Schizosaccharomyces pombe: one gene and its partners. The gene in region 1 interacts genetically with each later gene. Each region holds a gene or a part of one and is shown in the gene's direction. Other genes may lie near its edges. The genes, in order: slm1, pfl9, btb1 and SPOM_SPAC1399.02.

Region 1 (4,806 bases):
CTCCTTGCAGAGATATTCTTCGAAGATGTGTTAGAGTTTTCCTCTCTTTATCCAACTCTTCTTCAGACATCCCATCATGAATTTCCGAAAAAGAAGGGACAGATGACTGAGCATCAGAGGAGGAATCCTCATCATCGGCAGCTTCGTTACCGCTAGAAGTCTCCGCTTCTTCTGTGGTATCGTTTTCATTGTTGTTTTCATTTGATATTGTGATATTTTGATCACTCAATAAGTTAGCTTCATTATCAGGGCTCACCAACTTCGAACGAATTTCTACCGACGGATCATCTGTTGAGCGAGTTAAAGAGGAATTATTCTCAAGTGGTTCAGATGAAGAGCCAGATAGCTGGGTTGTGTCATGTTCATTACATTCAGTAGATTCCTGAGAAGCAACGAAAGCAGGATCTTTAGGGTCACTTTTAGTCTCAATGGATAGAGTATTAGAAACTGAAGAACTAGACATTATTTTTTATTTAAAAGGAAAAAGAAAAGAAAGAGAACCAATCAGTTGAAAAAATAGTTTGACAGAATTAATCAAATAAAAAAGAAAGAAAGGAATCGTATGCCAAGTTTGTGAGAGAATTAAAAAAATAAGAAGAAATAGGAAGTTAAGTTGCAGAGGAAATTGAAGTTGCAATGCTCTCAAAATGTATCCTAGAAATGAACAAGTTGAAAATATTTAATGAAAAGCAAAGTAAAAACAAAAAAAGAAAAAGGGGCAAATCAAAGGATTTGAATAAACAAGTACTTTATTATACTTTAATTTGAGAAGAAAGAAAGAAAAGTAGAATAAAATGGTTTCAAATATTATTTACAAAGGAAAATGAGACACCCCAATACGTGAGTAATAATCACAATAGGTCTTCTTTCAATCTTCCCACCGTTGCCAATCCGTATTTGCGAAACAAAAGTCCAGTTTTTTTTCGTTTTTAAAAAAAAAAAGGAAAATAAATAAAATGTTCCAATTCTAGTAAGGTTGGGTACTAGACGGATAATTCGTCAATACAAATCAGAAAATAGCCTTTGGCCGCATGGAATAGCTTTATGGAAATAACAGTTTTCAACTAAGGAATTTAAAAAGCAATTTCATGAACAGATCCGCTCAGAAACAAGCACAGCCGACCGTCCGTCAAACAGCACAGCAACAATGGGGCGCCTTGGAATATTAAAGTAATTTAATTAATTACTCCGATCAAAAAAGGGAAATGAAAGAAATGCAAGAAAAACACCTCAATGATTAACAAAGCGTAGAAAGGAATAATTTGGAAAAACAAACAATCCGAGTTTCATACAACACTGGTTTTCCCAATACAGACGAAGTAAACACACGAGATTCAAAAACGAAATCAAAAAAGTAACTTCTTTTTTTTCACAGCGAATGCTATTCCCTCCTTCAAGGGTAAAATACGAACTATGCAAATGTTTGGGTGCTGGAAGGATGCTCTGGAATACCAAGACACCTTTATTGCATCTCAGCAGCTTATAGTGCCGCAGCGCAATCGTCCTTCATCACTTGTGTCGAAGACTCGTACAATTTATATAACGCAAAACAACGAAGTACAGTATTAGAAAATGTAAACAAAAGGTACTTTAGTGTATTAGGTTGGATAAGTTGAGTAGGAAAAAAAAAAGAGCTAAAACCTATCTATGTTTAATTTCTTTCATAGCGTTATTTTTTTAGTAAAAAATTTGCAATATGAGTGCTTAGCGACATAGAAAAATGGCGAAAATTCGACTAATTAAGTATTTTTGAAAAGGAGTACAAAGTATAATATTTATATTTTCTGACCTCAAAACTTGATTTCTACTAGTTCCATCATTCTTCCTGCTTTTCCCTATTCAAAGAAAATAGACATATTTATCCAGTCCAACGGAGGCAGTTTCTTGAGTTACTTCCTTATAGCAGAACCAAAGAAATTGAAACGTTTGAATAAAAGAAGAAAAACCTTTTCCTTGGTTCAAACTCCCTATCAACTATAATTTCCCAATAATGTATCAATTGCTCATTAAAGGTACAAAATACCTATGTTCCCAAGCAAGCACCTATTGTTTGCCATAACTAACGAGCATATCAAGCCTTTGTTTGATGATGGTCGATAATTTTATAAATATACAAGTCGAACATACATTGCAAGTTCAAATTTTGCTTCACCTGTTTCTTTGACATTTTTTCTTAAGCACTGAATGTTCTATTTCCAACAAAACCCTTTACTTCAAGTACCACCAATTTCCTATTATGAGTTACGTTAAACAGAATACCAACCCAGAACATTTATATCGGTACAGCAAACCCCTTCAGGAGGGTGATTGGCGTCATACGAGCAGATCGTTTTCTTTAACAAGTTCCAAGTCAAAAAAGCTTCACCAAGAACCAACAAGATGGAACTTTCAGGGAAATCGGAATTTCCAACCAGGACGGAGATTCCAAACCAGGCTTCAAACGGAGATGCAGTCCCAAACACAGACGCATATATGGGACTTTGCAACTCCTTGACTTATCGGTTTGAAGGATGGAGACATTTGGTGGAAAATCTGATTGCATTCTTTAAGCAATTAGAGTCAACGTCAAAAAACAATGCAAAGGAGTATATGAAATTGAGCAAAGTTATTGTCCATCCTTACAAAGATGCTAATGTATTTGAAGAACACGGAATTCAAGATATTTTTGCAGCGCTTCGAGACCAAACGGCTGCCATCGCTTCGGATAGCGAGCAAATATCTATCCAGTTGCCAGGTACTATCATCAATATATTAGAACTTCTTCGTGAAGACCTTCGTGAACACTGTAAGAAAATCGCAGCGGAAGGTACAAAAGGTGTGAAAGTAGTTGAAAAGCAGCGTGCGGAAACTCAAAAGTATCTTTCCTTACTAGATCGGGCTCTTTTACCATGGAGAGCATCCAGTCCACCTACTGTAAACATTAAGAACGACCCTTTTATTGTAGATAGACAAGTGCTAAACTGTTTGGCTCGACAAGTTCAAGAAGAGAACAATCACTCCGTAGCAGTGGCACAGCTTCAAGAATTTTCTTTTCGTTTCGAGCAAAACCTTATCGCAAAAATTAAAGACACGGTTAAGCAGTTTGAGGGCATGATGAATCAAACCCATGTCAAAGCTATTAATCACCTCCAAGAAGTTGTTCGCGTATCAGAAGCACAAACCCTTGCTGGCGAGTGGACCGGATACGCAAAGCGTGAGCCGGAATTTATTCATGGCTCTGTTCCCCCCCGCAGCGTTGATGCTATAAAATATCCTGGTAAGAATGACCAACCCACTGTACCTATCATGGCTGGTTATTTAATTCGTAAAACAAGTTTTTTAAAGAAAAAACAAAGAGGTTTTTATGCCTTTACACATTCTGGCTATCTTTACGAATTTAAATCTTCTGATTCACTTCAAGATCCTGAACCCGAATTCGCCCTTTACATACCTGATTGTCTGATCGGTCGCCCTTCTGAGAAGAAACCCAAGTTTAAAATAACTGGCAAGGATGCTACTAAGAAAATTTTTGGCGCGCGAAACGATTACGCGTTTCGCGCTTCTAACAACACCGAACTAATGAGATGGTGGGAAGCGTTGAATACCCATATTGCTAATGTGAACTATATACAACCTTTAAGCAACGCAAATGGTCCATCAGCTGTTTCCGACAGTGATGATGATGATGATGATCCAAATGACTTCCGTCCAGCCGTCGAGCGTCAAAGTTCTACGATGAATACCCGTATGTCGCAACCAAGCTCTGCTGTCAATACAAATCGAAGTTATGGTTCGGAACAAATTCCCTCATACGCAGATAGCCAAGGAAATTCTGGCGCCAACAACAACTTTATTTACAACGCTAGTGCTACTGGTCATAATGCTTGGAATGTATAAAGATTGTATATTCGCAAATTAGGTACGAAATGTGCTCATGTATATTTGTTACACTGCCGTTGTGTTTTAAATGGCAGTCTTTGTAACTCCCCCATACCCGTCTTAATTGTATCTTTTTGATTCCCGTTTAAAGCACTTGAATGTTGATTGTGAACCATTTTACTGTTACTGTAATGAATTCATGATAGTGTTTCTTGATATATAGTGAACTTTTGAAACACCAGTCAACAAATATATAGGTATTATATATAAACTCAGAATAAATACATTTTCTGTTCACCCATACCTGTGGCTGATGACTGTTTCAATCGGGAAAGTTACTTTTTAATGTAGCAGGTTTCATTCCGATATATCTCAACCGCTCGTTTCATGTTTATTAATTTAGCAGCTGGGATGATGGTATATACCTTGTAAATAAAGTGCCTAACATACTTTTATTGGTTTTTGTGAATTAGCTGAGCGCGTTAGTGAAGTAAATTCCCTTAATTATGAAAAGTACTTCTATTATTCCTTATTGGCATTATTCTTTTAATTGGAAACGGAAAACTGAAGAATTGTATTACTGTTTATAGCATTTTCGGTACTTTCTGGACAAATTTCGAATATACTCGTGTTCAAACCCGAGAAAAATATTTTCTAGATTTTTATATTATCAAAGAACACTAATTTTAATTGAGCATTTCAGGATTTTTGAAGTTGATCGTTTAATTTATCACAGCTATCTTGATATGTGTAAAATGAAAGTATTTATTACTCTTTTCATCCTTTCAAAAATTTTATTAATTAATTTACTTTCTATTGGAAACGAAAAGGTTAGCATCGTTTGCTGTAAGCGCAGGTTGAGAATAATTACGTCGATGCTATAATAACGAGCGAAACTCTAACTTTAAAAATCATCTCGCTTAATGAATTTCAAGGTAGCAAAGATTG
Region 2 (4,302 bases), 960 kb from region 1:
CGCCGTTCCCGTGGGTCCAGATGACAGAAGTGACGGGACTGCTAAATATAGCGGATCGTTTTTTAACGATGAACCTTTTTCTTATCCGAATTTCGAGCTAAACAGCTAGGTATTAGGATTTAGTGAAGTTTCAATCTTTGGACGTACTTTAACGGGAACACAATTGAATTATGGATTACAGTGGGATACTTAAGTTCAAGCTTTGAGAAAACGAGGAAAGGCGTTAATCCTTTGTATTGACAATAAGAAGTGATGCTCAAGAAATAAGTTTTAATGCTAAGTTGATTGAACTGGTCAATTAATATTTGATAAATTTTTTCAATCTTATTGTAATTTGATGCATTAAGGTTCGTATAAACAGCTTTTCGATAGTTTGTGAAATAAAATGCAGAAGTACTCAGTAGTCTGTTACAGAATTTATGTTTTTGGTGTTATTTGAAGACAAAACCTTAATGGATTCGTTTTATACCTGTAAATATACTATCCAATTCTATCAAACGTACTTAAAAACAAATACCGATTCATAGAATTTGTTACGATGAAATATTTCTAATAATAGTATACTAATTGCAAATAATTTACCAGGTCCAAAGTCATTGATCTGGACTATATTGACATTCCAAATATTAATAGTATGTCTTAGCGTATATAAAAATTAAGAAGACTTCAACGCTAAGTATGGATTCAGCTCTTTATTTTGTTATAAAAAAATAACTCAATGCTAAACAATAAAATAGCCGAGCAGTTTTCAATTAAGAATTGTCTAGCGAAATTTCATTAAACAACCTAAATCATATGGAGTTTTTTTCTTTTTTGATATTTGGCTCAGGCAAAGAAGAAAAGTTAAGAGTGGTATTTCTTAATAAATTAATGTCTCAAAAAAGGAATAAATTTTTTTTTTAAAATGCTAAATTTTAAACGTCCTCAGTTGCATAGATGAACTTTAAATGATAAGCGAACGAAATGCAATCGATAAATCATTGTCTCTTAGTAAAGTGTTCGGTTAAAATGACTGACATTTCGTCCGAAATAATATCAGTGTAAATATCATGGGAAAATTTCGTGTATTTCTTTATTTGGAATGCGCAGCAAAGTATCAAGAGAATAATTAGTGTTTTATATGATTTAATTTTATTGCCGGTACAATTGTATGGTTGTTCTGATAAATATACATGCTTTGTCGGTTTATCACTCTGAATAAATTTGTGATATATATTGGTTTATTTATTCAATCTATGTATCATGTAGTTGATGCTTTCATTTTTTTCATAATTTTAAAAATATCAGTTAATCATTTATTCAGCAACTGTAACGTTAAATCATTAATATATATATCTATATCGGCATGCATTAAGTTGCTACCGTTAAACATCTTAATTAAAACTAGTCTTTTATAATAACTAACTCTTTAATTTTTTGAAATTAGTTCAATTTACTGTGGAGGGCAGTCGATTGATAAAAGCTTTTCGATTCACTTGTAGCTTTAATCGGTGCTCGTTGCATCAATATTGGTTTATATAAGCCAAAGCTTTCATGGCTATTAATGAGTGATGCCGGTTTAACTACTCTAAAATGTTTTGAAAATGATAGGTATGTTTTGATTTGCTTCATCTTTTTATTTCAGTATTAACAACCTAGTAATTAAAATGTTAACAAAAAAATTTGACTACCTTTTCGAATCACATGTTTTCAGTGCTAAGTTGCCTCCAGACTGTCTGCAGTGAGTATAGGTGTTTTATAAGAAATTTGCTACATAGTATCAAATCAATAATATGAATGTAGTTTTATCAAAAAAATATTCATTAAGGCGACTGTACTGAAAGAGAAGTAGGTTAATAATAGACTCTTAAGAAAATTAACGAGAGGCGTCAATTTCTGTTGCTAGCATATATTGCGAACTCGATCGGTATGTGAATTACTACGAAAACATGCGAGCCGCGTTAACAAATGTGCATTGCCTTGTCTTAAAGTAACTAAGTTTCTCAGAAGCAGTATAAATAGTAGACTACATTAATTTCGAAGTTCCGATAATGATCTTTTTATAGAACTCAAATTTTTTAATTTGATATTGAGAATTCGAATAAAAATAACTATGGGATTAACAATAAGGGGGTTTCCGAAATTTTGGGTACTGGTTTTATATGCGCAGTTTTTGTATAAATGAACAGGCCTTCTCACACGTCTTTTCGGTTCATATTTAGCGATCAGAAGTCGTTAAAAATTTTTCTCCTATAAACAATGAATGTGGTGAAGTACATAATTTTTAGCTTTGCTCTGGCGCCTTTGTTATTAGTTAACGCGAACACATATAATTTTACACAGATACAAAAGCGAAGCGTAAACCAAGCTGTTCTTGAATCAAGTCAAGATACCAATTCAGTAGGCGGTGAAGCTTCTTCAACAGCTTGCCCTTTATTCACTACTATTTACACTAATGGTATAACACCGGGAACTACAACGATTTATCCAACATCTATCTCGACATCTGGCGTATCTAGCAACAATATCGATGAAACTTCGGTATCCTCTGAGTCTATCATCACATCCACTATTACGACTACTATAACATCTGGTTCGCAACTCTATACTACTACCATTACCGGTCAAAACACACCTGTTGATACCGTTGAAGTGGTAATCCCTACTGCTGGTACTTTCACAACTACATTGACTTCTGGATCCAGTTATCCTGTCGCAACAACTACAGTGCGAACAGCTTCTGGAACACAGTCAGGTGAAGTGGAGGTTATCACACCGTCCTGTGGATGCAGTCCTGAAAATTCATTCCATCTTAAAATAGACAATGATAAAATCAGCCCTTCCTACGTGTACATGGATCCAAACGCACCCGTGAGAACTAATGGTGCCGGTCGAGAGGGGAATATGTTTGCTTCAACTAATGGAGACAACGAGGGACTAAACCTTTTCTACTATGATTCCACTATTCAACGAGTATTAACATGTGATTGTCAAAGACCGTCTTACACTGTATACATTGAAGATCCAATTATAGGCAATGGTTTTTCAAGTGCTTGGAATCTCATTAAAAATAGCGATGGCATATTTACTCCTGTTGAATCAAGAAATAATGAGCCACTACACTTTCATGTAGATAACAATGGAAGAGTATGGATGACTTCACAAGAATATGATACAGAAGTTTCATCAACCGACGAAAGAAATTTTAGGGCCAATGATGTTACACTTCAACTGTATTAGTTGAAGCAGCAAATTTAGAATTGCACATACTCTCGTTTAATTTTTTGTATTTCAGGTCATACATATAATTTTTTTTACATTCATTTGATATAATATTTTAAAATTACAATCCATGAAATCCTTTATCAATCCCTATTGAAGATGTCAAGAAGTTGACTTCCTCGGATTTCATATTTTTCTCAAGTTCTGCTGTAAACTGAAAATAGGGATATTTAAATAGTTCTTAATTATTTTTTCCACTAGAAATTGATTGCTCTACTAATAAAATACTGTTCCAAGTTATCGGCACAATTATTACTTTCGTAAACAAAATTTGTATTTTATTTATTTTTTTTTTTTTTAAATTAATCATAACTAGTGGTATTAGGAATGCATATTTTAATCTAAGTTCAAATTAATTGCTTTCATAGTAATCATTGATATTTGTTAAATAACTAGGTTTAGGTAAACCGTACTAAAATTGAACAGGAAAGGATAAATTTTAGTAAATTTTGTAGATTATGCTTTTCGTAAAAAATAGTGGTGGCCGGTTTTAAAGATAAGTTTGGATAAACTGGTTATAATTTCCTTAAGTGAAATTTAATCACTTAAAAAAATATTAGATCTAAATAGTAACTATAGACAAGTTTTGTATAAGGAAAATGACAATTAAAGATAAGGAGCTAGACTAGTCTAGCGCTTGTTTTGAGTTTAATATTAGACCATTCAGAATTTTTTTACTCATTATTACTAAAAAAGAAAACTTAAGCAAGAATTTAAATTGTGGAAAGTCTCTTTTACTTATTAATAATTGTAAGCAATAAGGATAAGAAAATCAAAACAGTTTTTTTTAAAAATGTTTCTAAATTTAAAAAAAAATCTAAACCATATGCTGCGTTGCCTGTAAATAGTGTATCTAGGTCGGATGAGATTATTGTTTTCAACTTTATTTCTTCGTTTTGTAAGAAATGAACTATATTGTTGTAGAAATAGAATAACGTTACTAATCTCTTGAATATGGGTTAAAAAACAAAATTCACAATAATTAGAAAATTTTTTACCTTTTTATAGTTTTACCCAATTATTTACTAAAAATTATTGTAG
Region 3 (6,974 bases), on another chromosome or scaffold:
ATTGTTTTATGATTACTTCTTGTTGCAATCTGGCAGTAGTAGATTAGTCGCCCAAAATTTCAAGTTTTGTTTATTTATTTATTTAGAAGCAGGTTCGTTTTTTATATGTAAACTAAATTTGGCTGAATTGAAAACATTGTCAACAAATTATATATATCTTAGCTGTGGTAATGTAAAGAATCTGGTAATCCACTTCGTATTGCAACATCTACTTTTCTCGCCAGTATACCAACCACACTGCAACCTCATGCTATTGAATATAGTCTAATTTCTCTAAGACAGTAAAGCAAGTTTTAAAAGTCATATGTTTTTGATCTTTTTTAAAGAAGTTTCTGTTTTTTGAATTATTTTGAAGAAAATTATTTGTATGTAAGTTTGTGATCGATGGATAGTCATCATATGATGGAAAGATCGTTAACCTTTGAAAGAAACTATTCTCATTTATTTATAATAATATTTATAATAAGAGATATGAGCAGCTCGAACTCCCGAGTGCATGAGGAACAGCCTCCAACAGAAAATCGCAGATATGCGAGACCTACTGCACAAATGAATCGAGTAATTGAACAACAACCAAGGCGTCGCGATTACTTCCAAAACAATGACAACTCTGGTCGCAGAGGTTATAATAGGCATGAAAACAATGGTAATGCGCAGGATGTGGTACGTTCACACTATAACGCGCGTCCTGATTTGGGTTATAAAAAACGACAATTTTCTCCTATTATTCAACTAAAGAGGTTTAACAACTGGATCAAATCTGTTCTCATACAAAAATTCGCACCCCATGCTTCTGATTATCCTATTTTGGTACTAGACATGGGATGTGGAAAAGGTGGTGATTTAATTAAATGGGACAAAGCTGGCATTGATGGATATATTGGGATTGACATAGCTGAAGTTTCCGTAAATCAGGCCAAGAAGAGATACCGTGAAATGCATGCTTCTTTTGATGCACTATTCTACGCTGGCGACTGTTTTTCTAGCTCAATTAACGAATTACTTCCCCCAGACCAAAGAAAATTTGACGTTGTTTCTCTACAGTTTTGCATGCATTATGCATTTGAAAGCGAAGAAAAGGTTAGGGTCTTGTTGGGGAACGTTTCTAAATGCCTTCCTCGTGGTGGAGTAATGATAGGAACGATTCCCAATTCCGATGTAATTGTCAAACATATTAAAATGCTTAAACCAGGAGAAAAAGAATGGGGAAATGACATATACAAAGTCAGATTTCCTGAATCACCTCCACGCTCTTTTCGACCTCCGTATGGAATTCAATATTATTTTTATTTAGAGGATGCTGTTACCGATGTTCCTGAATATGTAGTTCCTTTTGAAGCCTTTCGTGCTGTTGCCGAAGGATACAATCTTGAATTAATATGGGTAAAACCTTTTTTGGACATCTTAAATGAAGAGAAAAACTCTGAAACGTATGGACCCCTAATGGATCGAATGAAAGTCGTTGATAATGAAGGACACCGTGGAATTGGTGGACAGGAAAAAGAAGCAGCAGGATTTTATTTAGCATTTGCCTTTGAGAAGAGGGGAATTTAGTCTTTTCTTTCCTTATCCCACTGATTCACTGTGCAGACCGCATTGTAGAAAGATCTTTCACGCTCGAAAGATCAGTACAGTGGTAGAAAAAAAGATGACTTTAAAAGATGTAGATTAATTTTTGATGGCAATGACTTTTATTTATTTATTCATTTTTATGCCTTTATTCTTTCTTTTTCTGTTTTCATATATTTTATACATAAGTAACATGCTCTCTTTCATTCCAGCTTAAGCGAATAAATAAAGTATGCTCCCAGGCATATTTCATCAAATCAGATTGCCCCAAAAATTGCCTCAAATATTAAGCGATAGCTTAAATCAATGCACCTGTCGGTATTCAACTACCAGCATCCACTGCTACTCTTCTTCCATTTTTTCTTCAGCAACAGTCAAGTTAAAAAACTGGAACGTTTTAATTGATTTGAGAGAAAATTTCTTATGGAGTAATCGATTGATTAAATGATAAATTCACATTGCGCCCTTTTTTAGTCTCGATTGATTAAATGAGTCATCTGCTTTTCGCGTATTACCTTTGCAACGACATTCGCTCATTCCAAAATCTACTGAAGCAAGATGATTCAAAGGTGAAAGAGCCTAGAAAGGGTTTTTCGGAAAAGAGCGGACAAAAACTCCGTATCAACCAAAAAGATCGATACGGACGCACCGTGCTGCACATCGCCGTTTCTGAGAATAAAAATTCCTTTGTTAGATCTCTTTTGCAGCATAAAGGCATTGATGTTTTTGTGCAAGATGAAGAATCTGGATATACGGCGTTGCATCGGGCAATCTACGTTGGCAACTTGGAAGCAGCGTCTTTGCTTTTATCAAAAGATCCCTCCTTCAGATCATTGCGTATTAAAGACAAAGAAGGTCTTTCTCCATTTCAATTTTTATCACGAGTCCTTTCAAGCACTATTCATCCGGTTCTTGACTTACCGATAATAGGAAATGAACTTTATGGCTTTGGTACTAACGTAAACAATACGCTCGGAATAGCAAATGGGAAAGAACCTTCATCGCCAGAAAGAGTGTTTTTACTGAAAAACCAAACAGAGTCTCCCACATCAGGTCAACTCTTTTCCCGAGACAAAATCCTTGATGTGCAGGCTTCCAAATTTCACAGCGTCGTACTAACGGATGAGCCGTCGCAAAATGTTTACGTATGTGGTATTGGTGCTGGAGGGAGAATAGGTTTTAACACGGACGTTCAATATAACTTTATTCCTATTCCTGGTATCATTCATAAAGTTATCCAGATTTCTGTTAGTCATACCCATTCACTTGCTCTTACAAAGTTCGGAAGTATTTATTCGTGGGGAAAGAATGGTTCTGGTGAACTGGGACTTTCTAATGACGAACTGAAAAAGGATGATCCAATTCAAATTACCCCTAGGCGTATCTCTGCATTCAAGGATTATCAGATAATTGGAATGGCGGCTGGAAAAAGTTATAGCGTTGCTTGGACTGACACTGATATTTACAGCTGGGGGTTAAATAATGGCCAATTAGGTATATCTGATCATATTTCAGTTGTTTCTACTCCAAGGAGAGTTGCTGGCTTATTATCGCCTGTCATACATGCCGTTTGTACTACTCGTGCTACGATATGCCTTTTACAAAACAACAGTATAATTGCCTTTTGCAATTATAATCAAGTGAAATTGCCATTCAACGTTGACTTTGGTAGTTCGTTAAAGGTAACTAAGCATCCTCTTTCCCTCACCAGATTTAACGTTAGAAAATTATTAGCTTCAGAAAACAAACTAGCCGTGCTTACAGAACTAGGCGAAGTCTATGAATTTGATATGAAGCTTTTACTTGATCGTGATTCTACCTCTTCCAAGAATTCCACACGAACTTCATTCAAATTTACTCCATTATGGATTTTTGAATCTTCAGACCTTGCAGCTTTAGATATTGCGTGGACCGCTGATAATTCTTTAATACTATGTACTAGAAATGGCACTTGTTGGAAACGGGAGTTAAGGTCAAAAAAGCGAGAAAAGTCATCTAGTAGCCCGTATTCTAGAGGACCATACAAATATAATAGAATTGAAAATTTACAAATGGTTGTTGGAGTCCGTGCGAGCGCTTCTGGATCATTTTTTGCAATTCGAAATGATTATCTTCCACCGCCAATCTACAAGCCTTCGAATATGTTAATTGATCTTTTGCGCTCACTACTTCCCTATGACCACCTTTTACATGTAAGACAACCACGTTTGATTCCTCCCGAAGATGAAGACGGAGTCCCTATTTTTGACGAAGACCGCGCTGCATCCAGCAATGAGATGCAGCTACTTTTTGAAGGATCTATACCGATTCTTACTAGTTATGAAAATTATAAGCAATCATTTTCTGATGTTACTATTTATTGTGGTACTTCTATGTTCCACTCACATAAGTTCATATTGTGTGCTCGATCTTCATTTTTGAGAAAATTATTGCTACAAAAAAAGAAATCGAGTGTCTCCAACATCATTTACATTGAAGAAATCACTCAATCTCATTCAACAATTAGAGTTGAAGATATTCCTCCTTTAGCGGTTGCTATTCTTTTGCATTATTTGTACACGGATACATTGCTTTCTCCATGGCATCTTGATTCACGCTTTTCACCTTTAAAAGAAAACCTTTCAAAACTTGCAAACTTACTGGAGTTACCTCATTTAGCGGAGGTTTTACCGTTTAGTGTTTCCCGCCAACCTTTGCTTTCTTTAACGAATGACATTCTGCAACTATATAATAATTTTTATGTCTTATGCGAAGAAACAATGGATACAGTAATAAAGCTTAAAGATGGAGAGCTCAAGGCACATGGTCTTTTTTTAAGTCTCCGCAGTGAATACTTTAGTTCTTATTTCCAATTTGTTTCTATGGAAAGCAATAGTTTTGACATCCCAATAACCGTCAATTTGTCTCATTTGACTGTTGAGCATATGTCAATTGTTCTTCGTCATGTATACAGTGACTTAAAAGTTGAGCTTTTTGACGATTTGAAAGAATCCGATTTTCATAATTGGTTGGAAACTATGTTCGAAATTTTGTCTATTGCAGACGAGCTTCTTTTTCTTGAACTAAAAAGCATAGCCCAGCAATCCTTACTTCGCTTTTTAAATTTGAAAACTCTACCTACTCTAATGGATCTTTCACTTAGTTATCACGCTGAGGAGCTTTATTCACGATGTATTGATTATGCTTGTCACAATATTGAATTCTTTTTGGAAGCAAATCGTATAAGTGAATGGGATGGTTTCCATTTAAAAAAAGTCGCTCAACGTTTAACTGAATTGCTTTCTGATCAACGAGTACATCTTCCTTCTAGCAAGATTGCTAATAGATTATTGATAAGAGATCCAGTGTTGATGGAAAAAAGAAATTATGAGCTTAAAGTTCTCAGAGAATACTTGTTTTCCCAGGAAAGTTCTCAATTATGGGACGATTCCCCTTATCGGTCTATTTTTGAAGATCGTCGATGCAGCACTTCAGCAGTAATTTTAGAATCTGGAATTGTTCCTTCAAGTAATCAAAGTGATTCATTAAATAAGGAAGATGCTGAGGAGAAGTCTCCTAAACCAAATGTTGTTAACGTTACGAGCATTACAAAGACAGCAGGAGCTTCTGTTGAAATTCAAAACAATATAGAGTCTGCTTCGTCAGGAGGGGATAAAACACAATTAAATGGTCCTGGGGCTGATCAACCTGTTACTGCAACAATTACTTTTGACAAAACGAGTCCATGGAGGAATAGGGAAAATCTTTCTCATAATAACAACACTACTAGAGCTAGTCTTAGAGAATTGCTGGAGCAAGAGAAAGCTGATGCTTCAACTACTACGGTTTTGTCTGATTCTAGATTTATGAAAGCTCCAACTAAAAAATCCCAACGTGAGAAAAAAAAGGAGCTTTCAAAGCAAGTGCCTATTTCCAAAACAAATGTTGGCCACATCGATATCGAGTTGGGTAAATCGAATCACTCAAACCCTTGGTCTGTAGCAACACATCAGAGGGGCAGTTTTTCGTCATCAACTGGAGTGAAAAAGTCATTTAATGGTATTCTTAGAGAGGCAGCTCGAGAGGAAGGTTCATCTCAAGTAATTTATCAAGAATCGAAGAAGCGCATTTCCAATGGTTCTCCAACTAGTTGGAACCTACTTACTAAACCATCTCCCCGATCTGCTTCTTTACCAAAAAATAGCCAACCTTTATCGATTTCGGAGATTATGACTGAGCAGAAAGAAGAAATTGAGAGTCAAAAGAGGAGATCATCTTTTAGAAAAACAATTGAGGAGATACAACAGGAAGAGGAGTTTCAAAAGTGGTGGGAGGAGGAGAGTTTGAGAGTACAGAAAGAACTTGGAATCCTTAAAACTGAAAGAGATACCTCTACGAATAGAAAACAGGGACAAGCTTCTAAACAACCTCAACGAAGGCACAGAAAGGAAAAAGATTCCAAAGTGTCAGAGTCCACTGCGGAGTTTAAATCTCTTCCTATTGATATACCAAGGACTACTCACAAGAAAGGAAAAGCACGTGCAGTCAAATGACCATAACAACGACTATATACAAAAAATTCAGGACATTAATTTATTCAACTTATGAAGAGATACTTTAATAGATATGTATAAGAAAAAATATTTGCTACATGGTGAATTATTTATTAAGCTTTTGTTTCACGATACCAATCACACATTTTACATACGCTAAAAATTCAATATTTGAAAATAATAAAATTGAATAGGAAACTTTGGTCATAAAGAAATTCAAAGCACGTACGGAATGAATACAAGAATTCGATATACACGGTAATTTATAGTGTATCAAGGACAGATCCAATTGTAGTGGAAAAATTATAGGAGAAATGATGCTGCTTCGTAAATTCACTAGAGAAACCGTGACAAGCAATTACAAAACGAGCAAAGATAAGGTTTGTTTCCATTCACCTAAATCATCGCAAAATAGCCAGAGGTCAAAACGGAAAGGGCAAGAACAGCATAACCGGTACGATAGACACCCTTTAGACTTAACTCCTTGGTGGTATCCCAGATCAAGTGACGAATACCGTTAAAAATGTGGAAAGTCAAAGGATAAGAAATAACAAACTTAGCAGGAACTTTGATCCAGGTGGGAACTTGCTGAATAAGACCAGAAATGGTAGCTGTATCCAAAGAGTATCCAGCGAGAGGAGCCACCAAGTAGCCCATAGCGAAAGCATAAAGAGTACCGGCGACAACACAACCAGTGATACGATGTAAACTGGATAGATACCAAGTCAATTGAGGTTCATAGATAGTCAAATGAGGAGAATTTGGACGGTGAACACGCTGGGAAGCAAGACGAGAATTAGCCTCCGTCTGGGTCAAATGTTCGGTTGCAATAGAGCGTCTCCAAACATTTCGTAAAGTAGAGCGGCCAGCAGG
Region 4 (5,618 bases), 2.7 Mb from region 1:
TATTACTGCTCTTACTCTCATTACTTTCCTACTTTCTTCTCTCTTTATACTTTTCCTTTTGTTTCAAATCGAACGATGTTTCTGCTTTCCCTGCTCCATTTTTTCCATCCTTCTCTCATACCGTCTCTCTCTCTCTCTCACACACACTCTTCCTCCCTTCCACCATACCGCCTACACTGCACTGCGCTATCTTATCGAGACTTGCTGACAAAAAAGTCCGCGAACTTTCGTTCCCCTATCTATCGCTCACACGTAAACGAAAAAGGCACCCTCACCCACTCTTTCCGACCAACGAAGGATATGCAAAGTGGGAATTGCTGGTTTACCATACTTAGAAAAGCTAGAAACCTCCTCAATCACGGAATCTTACTCTCATCAAACAACCGATCCTTTTGTTTCATAATTCAAATATCAAAAATCAATCCATTCGAGCGCTTCCTTGAAATGTAAACAAATCGCTCTACCATGCGTGGTTTTTGGTTGGATAAATTAATCAATGTTTGTGCAGCGCATCACACTATATCCCTTTAACGTTTACATGCGTTCTTTCTCCTTATATACGCTCTAGTGTGCCCTTCCCACCTACGTTGTTTATCTACGCTACTTGTCAGTAATGGTCAACTTTGACTAGTGCTTGTAGTGCTTTAAAACGTAATATCTATTAAAGACCGATGCAATCCCATTCACTCCAGTTATCAATGTCACTCGTCTTTCACAGCGTGGTGTTTAAAGTTCTTTATATGCAAAAGAACCGCAAAATGAGTAAAAATTATTATATCCATCTTTTTTAATCCTCCCTCCCCCCGGTCGCATTATTATTGAGTTACCTACTGCCTCTCTAAACCTCTCCAGCTTGCTTTGTAAAACTAAATACCCAAAACACTTGCTTAGTTTTCACTTTCTTCTAGCCCACCTTCCTAGATTCACCTTGCTTATTCAGCTGCACTTTTCCTCTGCACATTCGACAAATTCCAAACCTTCGAAAATTCGGGCCTTTCCTCACTCAATCCCCTTTCGTCCAAGTGTGCAGGTGGCTACTTCCGCTATACCCACCTCCCTTCTTCCTTCCTTCCTTACCGTGTGAGTGATGAAATCTTTCCAAATAATATGATGCTACAGTCTTACAACCCCCAAAAAAAAAAAAAAAAGGTTTGTGAGTAGAATTCACTTTTTTTTTTAAAAACATCACTTCTCTTTCTTCTAATCAGGGAATTCTGCATTTCTGCATCTTGCTCGGTATCTTAGGATAGTGTATAATAAAGCATCGCTAAAGTGGGAAATAGTAGGTAAAGGCCATTAACAATTCCGACATGCTGTTTCAGCCAGTCAGACTAAAAAGTCAAATGTACAATAAACATTGCAATTCTTTGAAAAAAAGAGTTGTATTACAGGCCTGTACATACGCACACTTTTCAATCCATAAAAAAAATCGTTGCTGTAGATTTTGTAAGACGTACAACTAAAGACATATAGAAGCGTTATTGTAATATTGTTACAAAATCCTTAAAAGGAGCACTTTATCGACCCTCAAAAGCACCTTGTTGATCCACAAACATTCTTTTGACTCATTAAAACTTTTCTTAATCATTTCATTGCTTACTTACTCATTTCAATGTTTGCTTAACCATTCCATTGATATGCAATATTTTGTCAACCCTCTCTCTCTTCATTCACTTACTTGTTTACTCCGATCCCCTATTTTCCCTTTATAATATCATACATGTTTACGATTATTTCTACATTCCTCACATTTTAAAAGATTACAAATTTATAATACTATACATTGCTGTCATTACATCTATATCAATATTAATCAACTATCCCGATATCCTCTTATCTTGGTAAATTTGCTCATTTCTTCACGGCATTATCGTTTTTGCTCACTCAAAAAGGAATACTCTTCATTCATTTTCTCGTCGTTTTTAAATGCCTGCTTTTTTCGACTTCCCTTCATTTTCTTATGCATAGACACTCTGTAGACTTTTCTCGACGAACCTCCTTATTTCAGTGTCCCTATTTTCCGGATATTAGCGCGGCTTTTTTTTTTTTGCTCTCCCTTTGCTCCATCGTTAGAAAAATCCTGTATAAATATTGCCTCTAAAGATCGTATTCAAATTTTCTACATGAAAATGCTTACTCGGTAATTACTTGGCCTAATGTGCATATTTTCTTATTTTTAAACTAAGAATATGTGCACTTAAAGCCGCGTCAATTTTCCTTCCTTATAATTTCCTATCTATGTGTTTTCTCAAAACGTACTCATTCCAGGCAAGTAGAAAAAAAACTCTACCATAACCAAAACTAGGCATCCTGGAAGTAGTGTTTTTATTCTGTGATTTAGTTAAAATTTCCCCCCTTTCTGATTGTAACAGACTTACTCAATTGTTTCATTAAAATTGCATTCGTTGTCTTGATTATTTATATTCTTTCCTTCAATATTATTTTTTTTCCTAGCAATATCTCTTTTTCTCCTAGCTGCATTCACCCTCTTCCTTACGGATTTTTTTCCCTAGTGTATTTGTGTTATAAAGTTACTAAACATAATGAATCCTTCTACTTCTCCAAATCGTAATTTGGCCTCCCCAAAGAGTTTACAACTCTATACCACAGGCAGTGAAGTAGCTTGGTATCCAACTGCGCTTGATGAAGCAAACGAAATAAAGTCTATAAACTCGAAAGCCTTTTCTTTCAAGAATCAAGATCAAATTTATGGTGCCGGTTCTCTAAAGTCTCGGTTTTCAACCCATGAAATCTCGTCTGAAAAAAATGATTCTCCTGATTTCACCCTTGTGTTGCCCTCCAATCGATTGTACATCGTTATTCCAGGACTTATGTTGTCGATTTTCTTGGCTGCCTTGGATCAAACCGTCATTACTACGGCTATTCCCACTATTGTAGCAAATCTCGACGGCGGTTCATCGTATTCGTGGATTGGTACTGCTTATTCATTGGCAGAAACATCTATCCTTCCATTTTGTGGTATTATGAGTGAAGTAGTCGGTAGGAAAATTGTCCTCTATACTTCCATTGTTCTTTTCCTCTTCGGTAGTGCCATGTGTGGTGCTGCCCAAAATATGCTTTGGCTTGTACTATGCCGTGCTGTGCAGGGCATCGGCGGTGGGGGTATTATGTCTTTAGTTACAATCGTTATAGCTGACATTACTCCTTTACAGACCAGACCTTATTACACAGGTTGTATGGGAGTCACTTGGGGGGTTGCTTCTGTTATGGGTCCTTTAATTGGAGGTGCAATTTCACAGAATACTACATGGCGCTGGATTTTCTTCATTAATCTACCTACTGGTGGTCTTTCGCTTGCACTCTTGATTTTTTTCCTCAATCTTGTACCCAAGCCTACAGTTTCGTTTTGCGTGTTTTTACGTGATTTTGACTTTGTGGGCATTGTAACCATTACGACTGGTGTTGTGTTATTTTTACTTGGCTTGAACATCGGATCTACAACAGGACATTGGGCCCATGCCAATGTCTTGTGCTATTTAATTTTTGGTATCCTTTGCATTGCCGGTTTTGTCGTCAATGAACTTTATACCACCCGCACTAGAATTATTGCTCCCTCGGCGTTTCAAACACTCTCTTTATCTTCTGTGATGGTAACCTCCTTCTTACATTATTATATCATGTCAACTGTGACTTATTACATTCCAATCTACTTTCAAAGCATCAAGGGTGATGGTCCGTTAATGTCTGGTGTTCATACTTTATCTCTGGCAGTTGTATCTTCAGTTGTTTCTGCCATTAGTGGTATGGGAATAGGAAAATTGAAAAATTATCGATATCCAATGATTGGAGGATGGATAGTTTTATTAGCTGGTACCGGTAGTATGATCGCAATATACTATGACACACCTATACCACGTACCATGGGATTCTTGGCTTTGACAGCTGTTGGAATTGGCAACCTGTTCCAACCCAATCTTATTGCTATTCAGGCTTCTGTACCTCCTGCTTTGATGGCGACTTCTTGTTCCGCATTTATGCTGCTAAGGAATATGGGTGCATCTGTGGGAATATCGATAGGAGCGGTAATTTATGATCAGCAACTTACGACACTTCTAAAAGGAACGGAATATTCTACAGGGCTTTCATACTCTCAAATTGCTTCAATTCCCAGCGTAAGCGAGAGAAACTTTGTATTCAATGTCTATGCTAATGCCATTCGTACAATCTGGATTGTAAATTGTCCAGTTGCAGGAGTAGGAATGCTTCTGTCGTTTTTTACAAAGCAAGAGAAATTATCTCAAAGCGTCACGGAGTACAAAGAAAAGGATAAGGGATTTAAAGATGCTCCTTGAAACTTATTTTTTAAAAAGCTTTTGTTGAAGAATCCCAAAACAACTGTTTATTAAATTTATTTTTCTTTACATTGCAGAATAAGGTCATTGTCTATTTACTTGATTTTTTTTATCTACGTTTGACTGGTAAAAACATTGTGTTTTCTATTACTAGTGTTTAATGTTTGTTTCGGTTTTTTTTTTTTTAACCAAGGATCGAACTTGATTGTTATAATTTTTTTCTGATATTGTTGTATGCTAATGATTTTTTCTTCGATAAGTTTACAAAAATAATTAATCTGCTTTTTGTTTTTACACTACATTTCTTCATTTCGCATTAGAGGCAGGGAGCTAAAGTGTATTGCATGTTAAAACAAAATCTTTCGCCATAAGGAGTTAAAAGTGTTAAAAATTCATGATTACTGCCATGATCTGTCGCAAACAATGTTTACTAGTTTTTCTCCCTCTCTCTTTCTTTTTTATTTTGGTTTACGGTGTAGGGATTACTCTTTACTTAATTTTAATATTTTTTAATAAAATCATTTATCTCTTCCTAGCTCAATTGCTTTGCTTGCAAAAGGTGCTATAGTTGCATCTTTTCTAAACTGCGCAACTAAGGATTTCTTATGTTTACTGATTGATCAGTTGTTCACTTGTTTTCATACTGCGCAGACCGTAGCAGCATTCCCGAACAAGGTAACGATGGATAAAAAAATCATCGCACTTTCTGAGACTATACCTTTTTGGTGGAACAAGCCGTTTGAAGCGCGGCATTCTAATATCATTTCTTTTTAGAAAAATTTAAAACCAAAACACTACTTGAGAATCTTCGTCGAAAACTCTTTTTACTTACGTGAAAAACTAACTGATAAGATTAAGCGATGTGTTCAACTGCTGGCCTTATTTTTATCTTGACAACTTTAAACTCAAAAAAATAGATGCGACAACAAAACCACGAAATCAACAGAAAACTACAAAAAGGCTTGCCGCGGTGAGCTTCCTATCAAAAAAAATGAATGAAAACAAGTATAGTTAATAGCTTGTTATATTGAAAGACGAAATGGACGACCCGTTATCGACCTATTCCAAGCAAACTAGTTTAACTATAAAACCTAAGCAAAGTTCATCAATTATCAAAATCAATTTTTGATACGACTAATTAGTTTCTTGTAGGAGTCGACATTACTTTCGACACCATTGTTTGCATCTATCCGTTTCTTTTGGATCCGGAAATTAATTGATCACTAGCTTTTACCAAAGTCCACACTGTCTTTTTCTTGAGTTTTTCTACATTTCATTTTTTTCTATTTTGTTTGGCATTACACG

Evidence for each region.
Region 2: mutations in slm1 (region 1) and pfl9 together harm fitness more than expected from each alone (negative genetic interaction), as found in Schizosaccharomyces pombe (one large-scale study listed by BioGRID).
Region 3: mutations in slm1 (region 1) and btb1 together harm fitness more than expected from each alone (negative genetic interaction), as found in Schizosaccharomyces pombe (one large-scale study listed by BioGRID).
Region 4: mutations in slm1 (region 1) and SPOM_SPAC1399.02 together harm fitness more than expected from each alone (negative genetic interaction), as found in Schizosaccharomyces pombe (one large-scale study listed by BioGRID).

The regions. Positions count from the first base shown.
Region 1 is NC_003424.3:4,562,964-4,567,769, reverse strand, and holds slm1 (cytoskeletal signaling protein), read left to right. Parts: upstream 1-2,363; 5' UTR 2,364-2,379; coding exon 2,380-3,876; 3' UTR 3,877-4,161; downstream 4,162-4,806. Other genes in the region: zds family phosphatase type A regulator Zds1, read right to left, coding at 1-463. UniProt on the Schizosaccharomyces pombe protein: Effector of the TORC2- and calcineurin-signaling pathways. Mediates actin polarization via inhibition of calcineurin-dependent transcription.
Region 2 is NC_003424.3:5,525,454-5,529,755, forward strand, and holds pfl9 (DIPSY family glycoprotein), read left to right. Parts: upstream 1-2,238; coding exon 2,239-3,219; 3' UTR 3,220-3,506; downstream 3,507-4,302. UniProt on the Schizosaccharomyces pombe protein: May be involved in agglutination during conjugation or other aspects of colony formation. Induces flocculation when overexpressed.
Region 3 is NC_003421.2:129,460-136,433, forward strand, and holds btb1 (BTB/POZ family ubiquitin-type ligase substrate adaptor Btb1), read left to right. Parts: upstream 1-1,935; 5' UTR 1,936-2,057; coding exon 2,058-6,101; downstream 6,102-6,974. Other genes in the region: mRNA 5'-cap (guanine-N7-)-methyltransferase Pcm1, read left to right, coding at 472-1,554; sdh3 (succinate dehydrogenase cytochrome B subunit), read right to left, coding at 6,498-6,974. UniProt on the Schizosaccharomyces pombe protein: Probable substrate-specific adapter of an E3 ubiquitin-protein ligase complex which mediates the ubiquitination and subsequent proteasomal degradation of target proteins.
Region 4 is NC_003424.3:1,844,816-1,850,433, reverse strand, and holds SPOM_SPAC1399.02 (transporter), read left to right. Parts: upstream 1-2,288; 5' UTR 2,289-2,543; coding exon 2,544-4,313; 3' UTR 4,314-4,786; downstream 4,787-5,618. Other genes in the region: SPOM_SPAC1399.06 (uncharacterized protein), read left to right, coding at 76-450.